Daphnia pulex: one gene and its partners. The protein of the gene in region 3 purifies or fractionates together with the protein of the main gene of each other region. This does not show direct contact. Links are inferred from orthologs where the notes say so. Each region holds a gene or a part of one and is shown on either strand. Other genes may lie near its edges.

Evidence for each region.
Region 1: the proteins of chromatin-remodeling complex ATPase chain Iswi-like (region 3) and chromatin assembly factor 1 p55 subunit purify together in Drosophila melanogaster (affinity purification with western blotting; 5 studies listed by BioGRID, with this or other methods). This does not show direct contact. The link is inferred for Daphnia pulex from reciprocal best matches to the Drosophila melanogaster genes Iswi and Caf1-55.
Region 2: the proteins of chromatin-remodeling complex ATPase chain Iswi-like (region 3) and chromatin accessibility complex protein 1-like fractionate together in Drosophila melanogaster (co-fractionation; 4 studies listed by BioGRID, with this or other methods). This does not show direct contact. The link is inferred for Daphnia pulex from reciprocal best matches to the Drosophila melanogaster genes Iswi and Chrac-16.
Region 4: the proteins of chromatin-remodeling complex ATPase chain Iswi-like (region 3) and nucleosome-remodeling factor subunit NURF301-like purify together in Drosophila melanogaster (affinity purification with western blotting; 7 studies listed by BioGRID, with this or other methods). This does not show direct contact. The link is inferred for Daphnia pulex from reciprocal best matches to the Drosophila melanogaster genes Iswi and E(bx).

The regions. Positions count from the first base shown.
Region 1 is NC_060023.1:6,455,369-6,459,829, reverse strand, and holds chromatin assembly factor 1 p55 subunit, read left to right. Parts: upstream 1-1,168; 5' UTR 1,169-1,306; coding exon 1,307-1,325; intron 1,326-1,387; coding exon 1,388-1,535; intron 1,536-1,604; coding exon 1,605-1,750; intron 1,751-1,810; coding exon 1,811-2,015; intron 2,016-2,088; coding exon 2,089-2,461; intron 2,462-2,531; coding exon 2,532-2,744; intron 2,745-2,808; coding exon 2,809-2,988; 3' UTR 2,989-3,148; downstream 3,149-4,461. UniProt on the Drosophila melanogaster protein: Core histone-binding subunit that may target chromatin assembly factors, chromatin remodeling factors and histone deacetylases to their histone substrates in a manner that is regulated by nucleosomal DNA.
Region 2 is NC_060025.1:6,927,882-6,931,212, forward strand, and holds chromatin accessibility complex protein 1-like, read left to right. Parts: upstream 1-1,702; 5' UTR 1,703-1,818; coding exon 1,819-1,953; intron 1,954-2,030; coding exon 2,031-2,151; intron 2,152-2,212; coding exon 2,213-2,289; 3' UTR 2,290-2,388; downstream 2,389-3,331. Other genes in the region: mediator of RNA polymerase II transcription subunit 12-like, read right to left, coding at 1-157, 214-425, 489-648, 712-903, 989-1,096, 1,234-1,323; metallo-beta-lactamase domain-containing protein 1-like, read left to right, coding at 2,696-2,825, 2,893-3,105, 3,202-3,315. UniProt on the Drosophila melanogaster protein: Histone-like protein which promotes nucleosome sliding of ATP-dependent nucleosome remodeling complexes. Part of the chromatin-accessibility complex (CHRAC) which uses energy/ATP to increase the general accessibility of DNA in chromatin.
Region 3 is NC_060024.1:13,559,630-13,564,402, forward strand, and holds the start of chromatin-remodeling complex ATPase chain Iswi-like, read left to right. Parts: upstream 1-1,392; 5' UTR 1,393-1,600; coding exon 1,601-1,663; intron 1,664-1,741; coding exon 1,742-1,804; intron 1,805-1,863; coding exon 1,864-2,406; intron 2,407-2,478; coding exon 2,479-2,766; intron 2,767-2,824; coding exon 2,825-3,169; intron 3,170-3,233; coding exon 3,234-3,374; intron 3,375-3,436; coding exon 3,437-3,631; intron 3,632-3,694; coding exon 3,695-3,976; intron 3,977-4,046; coding exon 4,047-4,156; intron 4,157-4,220; coding exon 4,221-4,344; intron 4,345-4,403; coding exon 4,404-4,743; intron 4,744-4,773. Other genes in the region: alpha-L-fucosidase-like, read left to right, coding at 1-3, 103-265, 336-483, 546-638.
Region 4 is NC_060023.1:9,234,945-9,239,748, forward strand, and holds the start of nucleosome-remodeling factor subunit NURF301-like, read left to right. Parts: upstream 1-1,486; 5' UTR 1,487-1,915; coding exon 1,916-2,599; intron 2,600-2,656; coding exon 2,657-3,032; intron 3,033-3,092; coding exon 3,093-3,313; intron 3,314-3,377; coding exon 3,378-3,663; intron 3,664-3,730; coding exon 3,731-4,713; intron 4,714-4,779; coding exon 4,780-4,804. Other genes in the region: probable aminoacyl tRNA synthase complex-interacting multifunctional protein 2, read right to left, coding at 1-122. UniProt on the Drosophila melanogaster protein: Histone-binding component of NURF (nucleosome remodeling factor), a complex which catalyzes ATP-dependent nucleosome sliding and facilitates transcription of chromatin.

The DNA of each region.
Region 1 (4,461 bases), on a different chromosome or scaffold from region 3:
GCTTATATCGTACCATGCTGGATGAATGATGATGATGAATATATTGGGTCCGATCGAATCTACAATGAATTATTGTTCAAATGAACGGAAGGCCAACAGCTAACTTAAATTGTGGAATATCTCTTTTGAAATGAGAACAGAAGTTGACTTCAATTTTGGACCATTGTTATGATAATATCTCAACCGGCATTTCCATCCATTATTACTCCTCATATTCCTCATACTCCTCATACTACACGTAATGCTCGGCGAAATATATATATATATATATTTCATTTGGTTGAAGCACTACGTTATTAGCCTTTAGTGAATGTTGTGATAGCAGAAAATTTTAATCCAATAAATACGTTATGAAGGAATGGAAAGAAATGACGGTGTTTTCAAATCATTAATTTTTCTTAGACGCAGTAAAAAATAATCCTATTAACGCTGTACAACTTCTATACTGAACTCAATTAAATTTATGGCAAAAAATACACTGTGCAATGAAAGAGAATTTTGAAGTGGTTTACTCGTCTTGCTATCTTCTAGTTCAAATATCGGTTTGATTGTCTGATGACGGAAAATATTACATTGTTTAACGGATGGCCGGAGGAGGCTTTCTTCATGATTTACTGTGAACCATTTCCTAGAGCGCCAATCGCCTTTACATTGTAACAGGTAGATCACTTTAACCTTGACAACAAAGGTGAAGCACCTTCAAATTTCCTTCCATTGTTTTGGCATCTAGCGCTAAACCACTATGAAATTAATTATGCGCAACAGAAAAAGCTTGAGAAAAAGTTAAAATCATATTGGGCATCGGAAAACCATTAAAATTTTGTGGAATTAAGCATTGATATATTTTTGAAAGCAAATATTTTTTTCTAGAAAAAATAACTGTATTCCTATAACAATATAACTGTTTTTATGCCTTACACTGCCTTACATGAAGATTTTTTCCTAGACCTACCCACAGGCATACAAATCTCTCAACACCCATGGCCTACCTAAATATTGTTTTTAATTATTACTAATTAAATTTAATTTTTAAATCAGACTTTTGAAGTAGGCAAATTCTTTTAATTTGACAACAATTTTATTATTTTCAAGATTTTTTTCTTTAAAGACATGACCATGCCATCTATGAACGGCAAAATAAACTATTGAAGTAGTTTCGACTTTTTCCAAAGTGGCACCACTGGAATTGCTTTCGTTTTTGCCGCCATTTAACAAAGCAGCACGCTCAAAAGTCTCTGCTAACCGAATCTATTGCTTGACAGGTTCCAGCCGGTTCATCATTAGTAAAGGACTTGATTGACTAACGATGGCAGATAAAGATGGAGGTATCTGTTGAAATCATTCTTTGTTATTGGATGACAGTGAAATTTAATCCAATCTTTTTTAGAGCCCTTTGATGAAGCAGTGGAAGAACGCGTCATCAACGAGGAATACAAAATTTGGAAGAAAAATACTCCATTTTTGTATGATTTGGTTATGACACATGCTCTGGAATGGCCTTCACTTACAGCTCAATGGCTTCCTGATGTTACAAGGTAAATTACTGAGAACAAAGGTGTTTTATTGTTTCTTTCTAACTGTTGAATGTTTCTTTTCTCCGTTAGGCCTGAAGGCAAAGACTACTCAGTGCATCGTCTCATCCTTGGTACTCACACTAGCGATGAACAAAATCACCTCTTGATTGCATCTGTCCAGCTTCCTAATGAGGATGCTCAGTTTGATGCTTCACATTATGACAATGATAAAGGAGGTAGTCATTTAACTTGATCAAATCTGTTGCACTATTGTTTTAATGCTTCATCTCTATCAGAGTTTGGAGGCTTTGGATCAGTGAGTGGTAAGATTGAAATTGAGATCAAGATCAACCATGAAGGAGAAGTCAACAGGGCTCGCTACATGCCCCAGAATCCTTGTGTGATTGCCACTAAAACACCTTCATCTGACGTCTTGGTCTTTGACTACACAAAACATCCTTCTCGCCCTGATCCTAGTGGAGAGTGCCACCCTGATTTACGGTGAGTCATTTTTTATTCAAATGATTTCTTATGACCTAAACTTGTTACTCACAACTACATTATCTTTTTTTAGTCTGAGAGGACACCAGAAGGAAGGTTACGGTTTGTCTTGGAATCCAAACCTTAATGGTCACTTGCTGTCAGCATCTGATGACCACACCATTTGCTTGTGGGATATTAACGCATCGCCGAGAGAGAATCGTGTTCTCGACGCCAAAACCGTATTCACTGGCCACACAGCAGTTGTAGAAGATGTCGCTTGGCACTTGCTTCACGAGTCCTTGTTTGGTTCCGTTGCCGATGATCAGAAGCTTATGATTTGGGATACTCGCAGCAATAACACCAGCCGGCCCTCCCATACCGTGGATGCTCATACGGCTGAAGTGAACTGTCTGTCATTCAATCCTTACTCCGAATTTATTTTAGCTACCGGATCTGCAGACAAAGTATTCATTTAATATTAAAATCTACTATTTATTCTACTCAACTAAACATGTCTCCAAATTGTATTTCTAGACTGTAGCTCTTTGGGATTTGAGAAATCTTAAACTCAAATTACATTCGTTCGAGTCGCACAAGGATGAAATCTTTCAAGTCCAATGGTCACCGCATAATGAGACTATTTTGGCTTCGTCTGGCACCGACCGACGCTTGCATGTCTGGGACTTGTCCAAAATTGGAGAAGAACAATCCACCGAAGATGCCGAAGATGGCCCTCCAGAATTGTTGGTAAGTTGAAATATTGATGCGATTGTTTGATTCGGATGCTGTTTAATTATTGAATTCTCAACAGTTCATTCACGGTGGTCATACGGCCAAGATCTCTGATTTCTCCTGGAACCCGAATGAGCCCTGGGTCATCTGCTCCGTCTCTGAGGATAACATCATGCAAGTTTGGCAAATGGCTGAAAATATTTACAACGACGAGGAGCCTGAGACGCCAGCCTCAGAACTGGAAACCCCTACTAATTAATGCATTTCCAGTGTATCGCCCTATACCCTATTTCTCATCGTTTGATTCTTTACTGTCCCACGTACACGCTCATCTTTTTTTTAACATTCAAATCTTCGAATTTGGCCCTTACATCGCTTGGAGATCCAAGTTTGTGTATTCAATAAATAGCTTTCCGCGATTTGGTTCAATTTGAATTATTCTAATTACTGCCGTTAATTAGGTTACTAGTCCATTTGCAGTCCATTAAGTGGGTTGTGATGAAATTTCAATAAATGGTTGAAAGACGCTCTTATTCAGAACAAAATTCGACTCTTGATCGCCTGACCCTATGACGCAATCATTAGATTTCGAAAGCTAAATAACAGTAAATTGCCTAATTCCCGACTGTTCTAATTATTCGTGATTTTGTATTTGTACATGTTCGACTGTTTTCTTTGAACTCGGATTTCTAATCTGTGATGTTTGGATTTAGAAGCCAACAGCATATCCGTCTTGACCGTGAATCAACATTGTTCGGCTCACACTGGCCCGCCAGCAAGCAGCAGGTAAACATCTATCGTCTTCAGCTGGGTGTGGGCATCATGCGGCAGTAAAAAAGTTCCTCTCCTACCCGTGAATAAGTGTAGAGGACCGATGTTATTTATTATTCAACCTTGAAAACGCAATTAAAGCGCTTGAGGTTGAGCATGACGAAGACTCCAGCAGCATCCTCAACACCGTGTTCGGCCAAGGTCCGTCTGGATGGTTGGACCCCGTATTGGGATTGAGAAAACGCCAACATTTGTTATGTTTATGGATCGCGAAATGTGAAAATCGATTCCACATTTTCATAATGTTTTTGTTTGTTTGTTTTTTTCGCTTTTTTGTCAGTTGAAATATGCCTTGCAAAAACGTGACGCATCGGTTTTTCAAGGGCAGTTACCCAAACGCCCAAAACAAAGGCGCGCAATATTTTTTTCCAATATCCGCAAACGACTGAAATAAAATTCATTGAAAATACCGGCATCGTTAATCTCTTCTGATTTTCAATTTTAAAAAATCGATTTTGTATTTTTTTGTTTCAATGAAACCTCATCATAAAATTATTTTTACGCATTGAAAAGCCACGGGTTGCTTAACTGTTAATAAAGGTATTTACCGAATTTTCCAGACAATACATTGTATAATTAATTTCGGTTTTAGTCTCTAACACGGAAATTGCGTTTCAAGTCGGTGCTGGGCCTATCGGTGCTGGTTGTCAAGTCACTTTCCTGACTGAATAGATCCATTAATCACCTAATCGAAAGAGCGCTGGCCATCGTTGAGATATGCATTTTCGGTTGGAGGAAGCCAACATCAAAGAGATGGATGATGCTTATTTTCAATCGGGGTATACAAGTAAAATAACTCACGACAGAGCTGTTTACCCGATCTTTGGCCTTGCGGGACCTTGATCGAGCGCGTTGACGCGTGGTGTTACGTACGGCTCGCGGTGCTGTACTGGGACTTGGT
Region 2 (3,331 bases), on a different chromosome or scaffold from region 3:
CAAGCTTTCGACTCAGAATTTCACACTGTGTAAATTCATCTACATACTGCAAGATTAATGGAATAATAAACTTGAGAAGACCATCATCACAAGTTTTACATTTTTCAAGCATGTCCAACTGCCATTGTAAGAAATCTTGGCATTCAAGAAGTCCCTCCTGAAAGACAAATGAAATTGCAAAAACGAAAAAATAAAATTTTATCTCCACAATACCTCAAACATCACTTTGCATAATTGCTGGCAATAATTAAATTGGCGAAGAGCAAGCTTCTGTTCATCACTCATCAAAGGGCTACCATTATGATATGCAGTAGCATTTGAAGCATATGCAGCAGAAGTTCCTCCACTATTTGTGGATTTTTGATAGAAATCTTGTAGTTTCACAATTTGTTCCTTTATGAACCGGACCAATGTACTAGTCCACTCTATATAACAAAAAAATGATTATAATTGCAGATAAAATAAATTATTTAAATCTTGGAAACTACCTTGAGAGGAATCTGGAACTTGACGCTTTTTCATTTTGGCTTCAGAAATAGCCACTGAATACGCAGATGTCATCTTGATTAACCATATTGCTCTAGACATAGGAACCTGATATTCACTTAGTTGGATAAATATTTCTTCCTTCTTGTTGAATATTGGCACCTTGTAAAAGGAATCAAAAGTTGGTATTTTTATTTGTTTAAGATATTCTGAGTATAATATTACTCTTTTTCCTAGATTCATCAAAGGTTTGCTGCCTGCTAAGTCTTTGAACCAAGACTCAATGAATGCCTTGGACTTTGGAGTAACATTATGGAAATTTTCTTTGGGATTGATGAGTTGGCGTTTTCGGCCAGTATCAGGCAATGTGTTGATTTCTTGTTTTTTTGTAAGCACTCCATTAATAAAAGTTTGGACCTAACATTAGGAAAGAATAATAAAATGGTTGTCAGCCTAGAACAATCTATGAACATCATACTAATTACAGTAAATTGTAGTTTACCTTTGATAAAGAAAAGTTGTGATTTTTAGCAGATCCATACTCTTCAGACTGATTAAGATTGGGTGTATGAGAAAATCCTTGTTTCACATTGACAGGAGTCAGTTCATCCTAAAAATAGTATTCCAAATGTTAATGAAAGGAAAACATAAAGAATTATCCTTTTTTTTAAATGAAACTGCCTTTTGGCAACTAGCATTTTCGTACTTGGGCTCATAAAAAAGCTGCAGCTACATTCAAAATATTACCTCTTTTTGTTTGGGATCCTGTGGGTAAACATCGGGCGGTCCTAATCTCAATTTTTTAAGAGGACGATTTTCCATTGATAAACAAGCCATAACTAGCTCTAAAATCAATTTCCACGCAGAAGTATAAATTTGTTACCACACATCAATGTTTACACAACACAAGTACACAAGTAATCAAATACTTCTAAATTCTTATCAAGAGTTCCGATTTTCAGACCATGGTTCAGACAGATATATCAGTGTGATGGCTTTGCTACAACGTTGCATTTCTATAATTTGCTGTTACGGCACACATAAAGAATAATTGGAGATGAATGTATTTGAATTTTGGACTAATCGTAGTCTAGCAACTGAATTTAGAAATAGTTATTAATACAATTGGTATCAATTTATTATGAACAAATTAATGACAAAATATGCTCCTTGCATTTTCAATTTTCATTGATCACATCTTGGCAGTGCTGTAAAAGTCAGCAGACTATATTTTGAACATTTCTATTTTGGCATTTTGTTAGAAATTGTAGTGGCGCGGAATTGCTGAATTGATTGAAGTGAAGGACTAAATCAAGTGAAATTAAATTAAGAATGTCTTCCTTTAAACCGAAATTAGGAGACGGCTCCATAATATTACCACAAGCACGAGTAAAAATGATTATGAAGAGTTCCCCAGATACTGAGAGCATATCCACTGACGCATTATACTTTGTAACAAAAGCAACGGTATTTTTAGTTTGTTTCCAGATAATTTTTTCATCTTATTTTTCTCATCTTCATCTAAAATGTTTCAATGTTTTAAGGAGTTTTTTGTAGAACATTTAGCCCAAGAGATTTATGAAAGTACCAAAAAGTCAAATGAGCTTACTTACAAAGGTCTAGCTGACATTGTTCAAAAAAGTGATTCTATGCAGTTTCTCAAAGGTACTGTGTTACTAAATGGTATTAGTAAAATTTTAATTTATTATTATTATTGTGTTTTCAGATATGGTTCCTAAGAAAATAACATACAAGGAATATCAAGAAATTCTGAAGGAAAAAGGAAATGGTGACTTGTTTTGAGTGTTTATTCAAATTCATTTCTGTCTTCAACATTACTTGCTCATATTTATAAGTGTTCCACTAAGGAAAGTTCAATTTCAAATACATTGATTGAACCCATTGTTCCTTTACGATTCACATCAACTAAGATAGTTTGGTGGTTCAATAGACTGCAGTTAATGTACTGTTGTAATTAATTAATTGCGGTTTTATGTGACCATTTGTTAGCCTAAACGGGTGTGTCCGTATTTTTTTCTCCCTCAATTTAGCGTACGTTATTTTCAAACCACAGCTGCTGCAATAAGCAAAATGGCAAAGTTCAGCGTGTCACCCATAGATGGCGAAAAAAGCAGTCTAAAAAAACAAAACATTTGATTTTGATTTTTGACATTTTGACACTAGAAGGGCTACTCTAATTTCTAAAAGGATGGCGAACTCCAACCGTGTTACAGTAATACATACTGGATATTCTTCTACCACAATTGAGGAAAAAGACGAAAATCTTCCTTTCGTCCGTGCAAATTGCTCATGCGTATTGGTTACCGGCAGTAAAAATAGTAACAAACAGCACAATCCAAATATGTTCGCAATAACGTGATAACAGTTAATAAATTATTTTTTCAGTAATTGTTGATACAATGACACCTTGGGATACCAATCTCATTTTACTATCTTTAGAGGCGAATGGGTTAACCCCTGATGACATCAACTATGTCATATCTACTCATGGTCATTCGGATCACACTGGCAACAACAATTTGTTTCTGAAAGCTAAACATATAGTTGGCTATTGCATTTCTGTTAAAGACAAATATTTTTTACATCCTTTTGATAAAGGTAAATTCTGTGGTTTCCTTTAATTGTGTACTTTATTACTTTAGCTTCAAACAAACATTAATTTTTTTTACATACAAAATGTATGATGTGCTGTAGGTCTTCCATTTGAAATTGATGAGGGTATTACAGTAATACCTACACCTGGACACACAGCAGATGATATCAGTGTTGTTATTAAAACTGAAGATATGGGTACAGTAGTCATTGCAGGTAAAATTTCTTGCTA
Region 3 (4,773 bases):
GAGGTAAATATTCCGGGGGGGAGATGACGGCTTTACGAGCCGCGACCATTCCTTCTAGATTTGATTGGCTCGTATTTTTACAAACGTGCTTGCTGAGAGCAGGAAATTTATTGATGAATATCGGGCCCACGGCGGACGGCGTGATTCGTCCAATATTCGAAGAGCGTCTGCGCGACGTCGGGTCGTGGTTGCAAGTCAACGGCGAGGCTATTTTCGGAACTCTTCCGTGGACACTCCAAAACGATACTCTAACCAGCAATGTTTGGTAAGTCATTTTACCGATGATGTGATTCTTCTCCAGGGATTCTTGAAACCATCGCGAGATCATATCATAGGTACACCAGTAAGAGAATTTTCATATGGAAGTACGTGTACGGAATAACTCTACGATGGCCGGAAAACAACACCCTAATGATCGGAGCTCCAGTTCCATTGACTGATGGATCTGTCGTCACTTTGCTGGGATACAAAGATCCATTAAAAGTATTTCGACATTTCTATAGCAAATCTGTAATGAAGAATAACTAAGCCATTTGTTTTTCTAGTGGAGTATTTTTAAAGGCGTCCTATCAATCCAATTTCCTGAAATGAATAAAGTCGAGAGCCAGTGGGGATGGACAGTGAAATTCGCCATATAATAATAATTGACTACTTACTAATTGTTAAAAAATTGTTTCGCATAAACATGTTGTTGGTAGGACCACAATTGGTTCTGATGATTTTGTTTGGTTTGAAATTTAATTGACTTATTTTTCCCAGTACTACACTGTTTCTATGTGTGTGTGTGATATTTTATGACTACGAGTTGGAGCAGAGGATCTTGTTTCACTTTCAGACGGCAGTAAAAACGAAGAGGAGCTCTGCTGTGTATCCACGCAACCCCCCTGCGCGAAAAGAGGATTAGTCTCTCCGATCGACTGCGTTGGAGGTCTTGGTTTATTGTCTGTATTTTCCCAACACTTTGGGTGAAATTAAATTCTATGCAACATTACTTAAAATCAGGAAATTTTTTAACCAGTAGGAACACTGTACCGAACTGGTAAATGTACAACATTTTAATCAAATCAATCCATGATCTAAATTTCAACGAATATTAGACGACTGACTTACGTCATGAAGGCCGAATAGAATAATTTTGTCGTTGATTCCGCGTCATTCAAGTGTTGCTTTACGGATCTATAAAGTAATTGAGTAAAATAAAATTGTGATGGCCAATGAAGACCGAAGGCAAGTTCACGATACAATAAATTTGTTAAATTTTATTAGGTTATTTTGTTAATTTAGAATTATTATTTTACGATGATTCATTTTTGAAAGAACGAAAAAAAGCTCTAAGTGCTCTAAGGGCAATTGCTTTTCACGCGTGCAGTATATATTCAATTTCGACGACTTGGCAACGCCGTTCGCGCTCTGGACTCCTCCAGTCCAGTCCTCCTTTGTGTCCGTTGTTAAACCGGCGTAACGGCGTTGTTGTGTTGTTGCATGAACTGAGTGAGATTGTGAGATCTCTCAACTTATTTAACGAGAGCAATCGTCTATTTCTTGATACTTGGCGTTTAAAAGTTGGACTTTTTGAAGCGTGGTTACCCTCTCTATCGACATGTCGAAATCAGAGGAGGAAGGTAGCCCTATGGAAACTCCAGCTGATACTGGCGAAAATTCTGTAAGTCCCATCACGATTGTTTTGTTTCAATTAAAAACTATTCGACATTCATTAATTTCCTTATGTTGAATTTAATAGCAAACAGAGTCTTCATCCCGATCATCCCTTTCTAAAGGCAAAGATGACTTTGACAAGAAAACGGTAAGTGTTTTTCTGTAACAGTTTTGGGAATTGTTTGTTGACAAAAATTGTTTGTGTAGGAAGTGGACCGTAGCAAGAGGTTTGACTATCTCTTGAAACAAACTGAGCTTTTCGGTCATTTCATGGCAGCTCCAGGAACCAAAGCTCCATCAAGCCCCTTGAAACTGAAACCAGGAAGACCCCGCAAAGAAAAGAAAATAGCAGAAGCGGGAGATAACAGACATAGAAAGACTGAAGAAGAAGAAGATGAGGAATTGATGGAAGAAGTCAAGGCTGCTGAGAAAGCTGCCCTTGTTACACGTTTTGATACATCACCATTTTACATCAAAGGTGGTGAGATGAGGGACTATCAAGTTCGTGGTCTCAATTGGATGATTTCTTTGTATGAAAACGGCATCAATGGTATTCTGGCTGATGAGATGGGTCTGGGAAAAACCCTTCAGACAATCTCTTTGTTGGGATACATGAAGCACTACCGCAACATTAATGGACCTCACATGGTTATTGTACCAAAATCAACACTTGCCAATTGGATGAATGAATTCAAAAAGTGGTGCCCCACCCTTCGTGCCGTGTGCCTCACTGGAGATCAAGAAACAAGGGTATGTTTTTTGTGTTTTATAAATGAAAATTTAGTACTTTGTTGCATTGCTAAAATCATCACATTTTCGTAGGCCAATATCGTTCGCGATGAAATCATGCCAGGTGAATGGGATGCCTGCGTTACCTCCTATGAAATTGTCATGAAAGAACGAGCTGTATTCAAGAAGTTCAACTGGCGATACATGGTTATCGACGAAGCACATCGTATCAAAAACGAAAAATCCAAACTTTCAGAAATTGTCCGCGAGTTCAAAACATCTAACCGTCTACTGATCACCGGAACACCTCTCCAGAACAACTTGCACGAACTCTGGGCTCTACTTAACTTTCTTTTGCCAGACATCTTCAACAATTCAGAGGTAATGTTCTCTATTATATCGAAAACTCGTTGCAGCTTCTAAACTGTCAATCATTTAGGATTTCGATGAATGGTTTAACGCCAACAACTGTCTTGGAGACGATTCTCTGATCCATCGTCTGCATGCCGTTCTACGACCTTTCCTTCTTCGTCGTCTTAAGGCCGAAGTAGAAAAACGACTGAAACCTAAGAAGGAAGTTAAGGTCTATATCGGTCTTAGCAAGATGCAGCGTGAGATGTACACCAAGATTTTGATGAGAGATATTGATATTGTGAATGGTGCCGGAAAGTTGGAAAAGATGCGTCTTCAAAATATTCTTATGCAGCTTCGTAAATGTTGTAACCATCCTTACCTGTTTGACGGAGCTGAACCTGGGCCACCCTACACTACCGACGAGCACATTGTGAGTTTTTCATTTCTAGTCTTGTTTAAATGTTGTACTTACAAAACGATTTTATTTTTCCTAGGTTTACAATTGTGGCAAGATGGTTATCTTGGACAAACTGTTGCCTAAACTGAAAGCCCAAGGATCTCGTGTGCTTATTTTTAGCCAAATGACCCGTATGTTGGACATCTTAGAGGATTATTCCCTCTGGAGAGGTTACAATGTAAGATGAATTGAGCTAATTTTTTTTTTAAACCCAACTAAACGTTATTTGAATTCTTTCAGTACTGTCGTCTCGATGGCAGCACTCCTCACGAGGATCGACATCGTCAAATTGAAGAGTATAATGCGCCAGATAGCAAGAAGTTTTTATTTATGCTTTCTACTCGTGCTGGAGGTTTGGGTATTAACTTGGCCACCGCTGACGTTGTCGTCCTTTTTGACTCAGATTGGAATCCTCAAATGGATCTTCAGGCTATGGTATTATCTGATAACACATTGAGGTTACTTTTCAGGTTAATTTACTGTTTTCAACTAATGTAGGATCGAGCCCATCGTATCGGTCAGCTGAAGCAGGTTAGGGTGTTCCGGTTCATCACAGACAATACAGTGGAAGAAAAAATTGTTGAGAAGGCCGAAGTGAAATTGCGTCTCGACAAATTGGTTATTCAACAAGGACGATTACTTGACAAAACAAACAGCGCCCTCAACAAAGATGAAATGCTCAACATGATCAGACACGGAGCAGATCACGTTTTTGCCTCCAAAGACTCCGACATCACAGACGAAGACATTGAATCTATTTTAGCCAAAAGCGAAAACAGAGTAAGTTTGCCTTATATAAAGATGGATCGATTTTTTTGAGTAATTTGCATCTTGTATTGTTATTTTTCAGACACAAGAAGTTGCTGAACGTCTCGAGAAACTCGGAGAATCATCGCTCCGTAATTTCACTTTGGACGCCCCAACAGAGTCCGTCTACCAGTTCGAAGGCGAAGACTATCGGTAATACCACATCTAGCTTTGTAATCATGGAACATGCTTACATTGAAACTTTTTTGTTACATAGAGAGAAACAAAAGTCGATTGTTGGTGCCTGGATTGAACCGCCTAAACGTGAGCGCAAGGCCAACTATGCCGTAGATGCATATTTTAGGGAAGCTCTTCGAGTTACAGAACCCAAAGCTCCCAAGGTAAGGCCCTAATATTTGTTGCATCCGTTCCATCTGAATCACTTCTTTGATTTACTTAGGCACCTCGACCACCTAAACAACCCATCGTGCAAGACTTCCAGTTTTTCCCGCCACGGCTATTTGAGTTGCTTGATCAAGAGATTTATCATTACCGTAAAACGGTCGGCTACAAGGTTCCGCGTAACCCTGAGCTGGGAGCTGAAGCTGCCAAAGTCCAACGAGAGGAACAAAGGAAAATTGATGAAGCCGAGCAACTAACGGACGAGGAGCAGGCGGAGAAGGAAAGTCTTTTAACTCAGGGTTTTATATCGTGGACGAAGCGGGACTTCAACCAGTTTATTAAAGCAAATGAGAAATATGGCCGAGATGATGTTGAATATATGACAAAAGAAGTTGAAGGTGTGTATTTAAGAAAGCTTAAGAGTTAAA
Region 4 (4,804 bases), on a different chromosome or scaffold from region 3:
GTCCCGTCATTATTGGCAGCAATATTGTGATTAAAATGGTCACTGATTTTTTTCATTTTATAGACACAACTCGGATGCGGAGTCTCCACTACCGACTTAAATAAAGGTTGCAGCTTGTACATCCTACCTACGTATATTCTATTTAAAATTTAAAGGAGGAAATGAGAAGACTGCGATTGAATAGCTTCGAGCCTTAGAAATGTGGTCTATTTTTATCATGGCCTACTATAGTCACGGCCCATCATCGTACGCTTCTGTGTGGGACCAATTTTGGGTTCCCTGCCCCTTCCCTGTTGCCATAGTACATAGCCAGAGGGTCGTAAGTATCGGTTTTTGTTCCACATTTCCGCAGATTCTGTGTCTGGCTTGCATAGTGCTATGGTCAGAGTCGACTAAAAGTATGCGATTGACAGTCTAGTGGTTAAAGCGGTAGATTCCCACTAGAGTGGTATTAGGATCAAATCTATGCAAGTCATAATCAATTTTTCATAATTTTTCCTTGTTTTTTCTTTATTTTTAAAGCGAATTAGATGGAATGCCTAGATTGTGAAAAAATGCGAGTTTTTTCACATTATTTTCAACAAAATCTGAATTTGCTTTTTTTTCTAAGTCCTTGCCAAAGAAAACAAATTCAGATTTTGTTTTAAAAAATGTGAAAAAACTCGCATTTTTTACACAATCTAGGCATTCCATCTAATTCGCTTTAAAAATATAGAAAAAACAAGGAAAAATTATGAAAAATTGATTATGACTTGCATAGATTTGAACCTAACACCTCTAATGTGGGAATCCTCCGCTATACCCACTAGACTGTCCTTCAATTGCATTTAATCGACTCTGACCATGCCTGGATGCAAGCCAGACACACAGGCATGGCGACTTAAGCCAAAAAATCCCAAAGGGTGGAAAGAATCTGCGGAAATGTGGAACAAAAACCGATACTTACGACCCTCTGGCTATGTACTATGGCAACAGGGAAGGGGCAGGGAACCTAAAATTGGTCCCACACAGAAGCGTACGATGATGGGCCGTGACTATAGTAGGCCATGATTTTTATAATTTTTTTTAGATAACCAAAGTCGTCTGCTATTTGAACAGCGACGCCTGGCCGTGATTAGACAAACTACTAACAAACTCTTACTAAGCGTGGTGATACTAAATTAGCATAACAAAATACAAGAAAAAATGTTACATCTAATAAGAATTTTTGAGAGTGCAACATCATTTTTATGGAAAGTTTGAATATTCTCTAAAGATCATCGATAAGCAATCGATTTCCAAAGTTATCGTCGAATCATTCTCACTTTCTCAGTTCTAATTAATTCTTAAAAAACTCTTCTTTAACCTCTTGAAACATACAAAACAGACAAAAAATTAGTTAAAATCGACATTGATTGACAAAATTCACTTTTGAAAAACAAAAATTTGAATTTTGGTTGCTATGAAAGACTTTTAGTGATTGGTTTCAGTTTTCGACCAATCCCGCTAGAGTTAGTTATGGCTTAAGGCCCCCTTTCATTCCCTCCCGCCTATTTCTCTCTCGTAGCATCTCAGAGCAAAAAACTCTGAAATTTTTTTGTGGCGTCACCGGGGCCTAAAACACTTTCAAGTCAACGTATTTCAACCGTTCAATTGTTCAACGTTTTGTTTTAGAGTGTTTGGCACAATATTAACTGTCGTTGTGAGTGTGAAAACTATTTTCGTGAATATTCAGCAGGCAATATCTGAAAAGTCACGTGATCAAGATGGCCGTTAAGCCTTCCGCGTACAACACTACTACTAGGTGGTAGTGGACACCGTGGGAAGTTTTGGCGCCCTGTCAACCTTGTTTATAAACAAGCATACTACTGCCGGCCTACTCCAGTGTTTCAGCTGGTCATTAATCCTTTGTTAAAAGTGTATCCCACAGTCGATAATGTCGTCGAGAGGCGGTAGGAGACGCGGGAGGCCGCCTAAATCATCTTATACAACACCACACTTCCTAAATTCCCGATCGAACGTTATCGAGAAGCCTAAATGGTTTTTGTCTCGTGATGGAGTGGCTAATGACAATGGTCCAACTGGGTCTAGAGCTAGTTCACCGGGAGGCAGTGTGGGGAGTTTCACACAACAATACAGTGCCAAAAAACATATATCAGTAACTCCATTCAAGAAACGTGGAAGGAAAGCGGGTACAAGAGGCAACAGAGGTGGCAAAGCATATGTGCCTAGGCCTTCGTTGGTCATTACCAGGGGTAATGATTATCATTATGGCTCAGACTTTGACTCTGGTAGTGATTCTGATGGGCCTCCGAGCCAAGGAGAAGATGCAGAGTTGGATGTTGAGAGTGACGTGGACATACCAATTAGCGAGCCAGAGAGTGATGAACTGGATGATAATGCCTCAGATATCTCCATTTCTAATCAAAGTTCCTCAATGCGAAAAATTGTTGAATCCAGTATAAAGTCTATACCCACTCCACTCCCTATTTGGCTCCAGTCCGATCAAGATTTACCAGTGTTGACTCTACCCAAATCTTCTGAAGACCTTCTCTTGCCTACACACCAAGTGCTACCTGCTTGCGCGATTTACGAAGTCCTACGCAAGTTTAGCAGTGAGGTTGGTTTGGTTTTTATTATGAATAATTTTCCCTGGCTAATCAATCTCTCTGCGTAGGTGAGGCTCTCTCCTTTTCGACTCGAGGATTTCATGGCCGCTCTTCAATCGGAAGAAATGACAACTCTTTTGGCGGAAGTCCATGTTCAACTCTTAAAGTCCATGCTTCGAGAGGAAGACGTACAACAAACTTGGTTTGGACCACTGGACCAGAAAGACAGCACAAATTCTGTGTTAAACTTTGCCGACACGCTGACGTGGCCAGAAGTCATGCGGATATACATGCAGAGTGACCCGACCTTTGCACCTGCACTCTCTTTACTTGAATCCTGCGAATATCCTTTTACTACCTGCGACGTCCGTCTGAACCTCCTCAAGTTTCTTACTGACCATTTTCTCTGCAATACGGCTGTCCGACAAGAGTTCCTTAGCGAGGGTAACATTTTTTAAATCATTTTTATGGTTTTAAACATACTAATTCATCTTTCATCTATAGGAAACATCAAATATAATGACCATTGTCGAGTTTGCCACAAAGTTGGAGATTTGCTCTGCTGTGAGACATGTCCAGCCGTCTATCACCTCCACTGTCTCGACCCACCACTGGAGCACGTTCCAAACGAGGATTGGCAGTGTCCTATATGCACGGCCCAACTATGCAAAGGAGTAACTGATTGTATAAGTGATGTTGAACGATCCGGTTTTCTCTGCCGACAAGTAATTATCCTGAAACCCAATGCTGGCGGATGAATTCCTTTTTAATTCATGTATTCTCTTTTAGGAATCTTTGGGCTACGACCGACACGGACGCAAATACTGGTTTATTGCCAGACGGATCTTTGTCGAAGAAACTGGCAGCCGGGAAGAAATTGACGGAGATGAAGAAACTATTGCCGTGGAGGACCGTAAAACTTGGTACTACTCCAGTCCCCATCAGTTTGAACAGTTGCTTGCAGCTTTGGACAAGACAGATTTTGAAAAGGCTCTTTGTCAAGAACTATACAATCTAAGGCCGGAAATATTGAGGCAGATGGCTCTCACGATACAGCTGACAAACGAGAATAAAGGTGAATAATATTTTAATCTACCTAATTTTATTCATAAAAGACGCTAATCATTTGTTATACATTTTAGGCAACAACAAATCATATCTCGAACTTGACGAAGAAGTTGCAAGGGAGGCCTCTCAGACGGTCGTCAAAGTTGAAAAAGAAGAAGATGACGAGGCTGATGAGAACCTCTCTGTCGATGCAATCAAAACAGAGAAGGAAAAAATAGAAACTGAGGAGGTTGTGGAAGAATGCGGTGTGGAAGTGGATGACGATTTCATGCAACAATTGCATGTGGAATCTGAACCTAAAGTAGAGCCTGAAGAAACGCCTACTACCGGTACACCAACAGCCAACGGAACTTACTCTACGCGCTCCAAAACCGGCACCATTGTGGCACGCACCTATGTCGACATGAAACGGCGAAATTTAACAACCAACGGTTCTGGCGGAGTCACTATTAAGGAGGAAAGAAGTGGCACCCCTACCAAATCAAAATCTCAATCTCCTTTACCCTCCGACGTCATCTTTAAATTGGGCATGGAAGGACGGCACAAGACGTACGTCAACCAGTACACGAGCAATCCCCTCGCGCTCAACAAAAACCAGGCAGCAGAGGAGAGAGACCGCAAGCGTTACTTGTCGCACAAGTTCTCCATTACGGGTTGCGGCGAGTTTAAGTGGTTGGGCAGTACATTTGGCAACCGCACTATCATGCAGCAAACTGTTCGTTCCACCTTGCTCCAACTGCACTCTCAATTGCCTGCTATTTTCATGCATCCTAACTGGGCTGGGAGTATGCGAAAGTCTTGGATCCAAGCTGTCAATCAAAGCGTCTCGCCAACAGACCTCGGTCGTGTCCTCTCAATCCTGGTTGCGTGCATCCGCCCAGTTGTTTTCTCTTCCGTCTGGCACGAGTCACTTGGCCACATTCGACTTCAACGACAGACGGCCCTTGAACGTGAAGAGCGGAAGAAGGTGGACAAGAAGGAGAAGAAGGATAAAGAACTGGAAGAAGAGATGCATCGACTACACACCGTCCATTACACCAAAGGCCTCAAGCACCAGGTAATAGAAACTATTTTTATTTCTATTTGAATCCATATCTAATTGGTTTCACATTGTTTTCGACAGATCTGGAAGCACAAAGGTGAAGAGT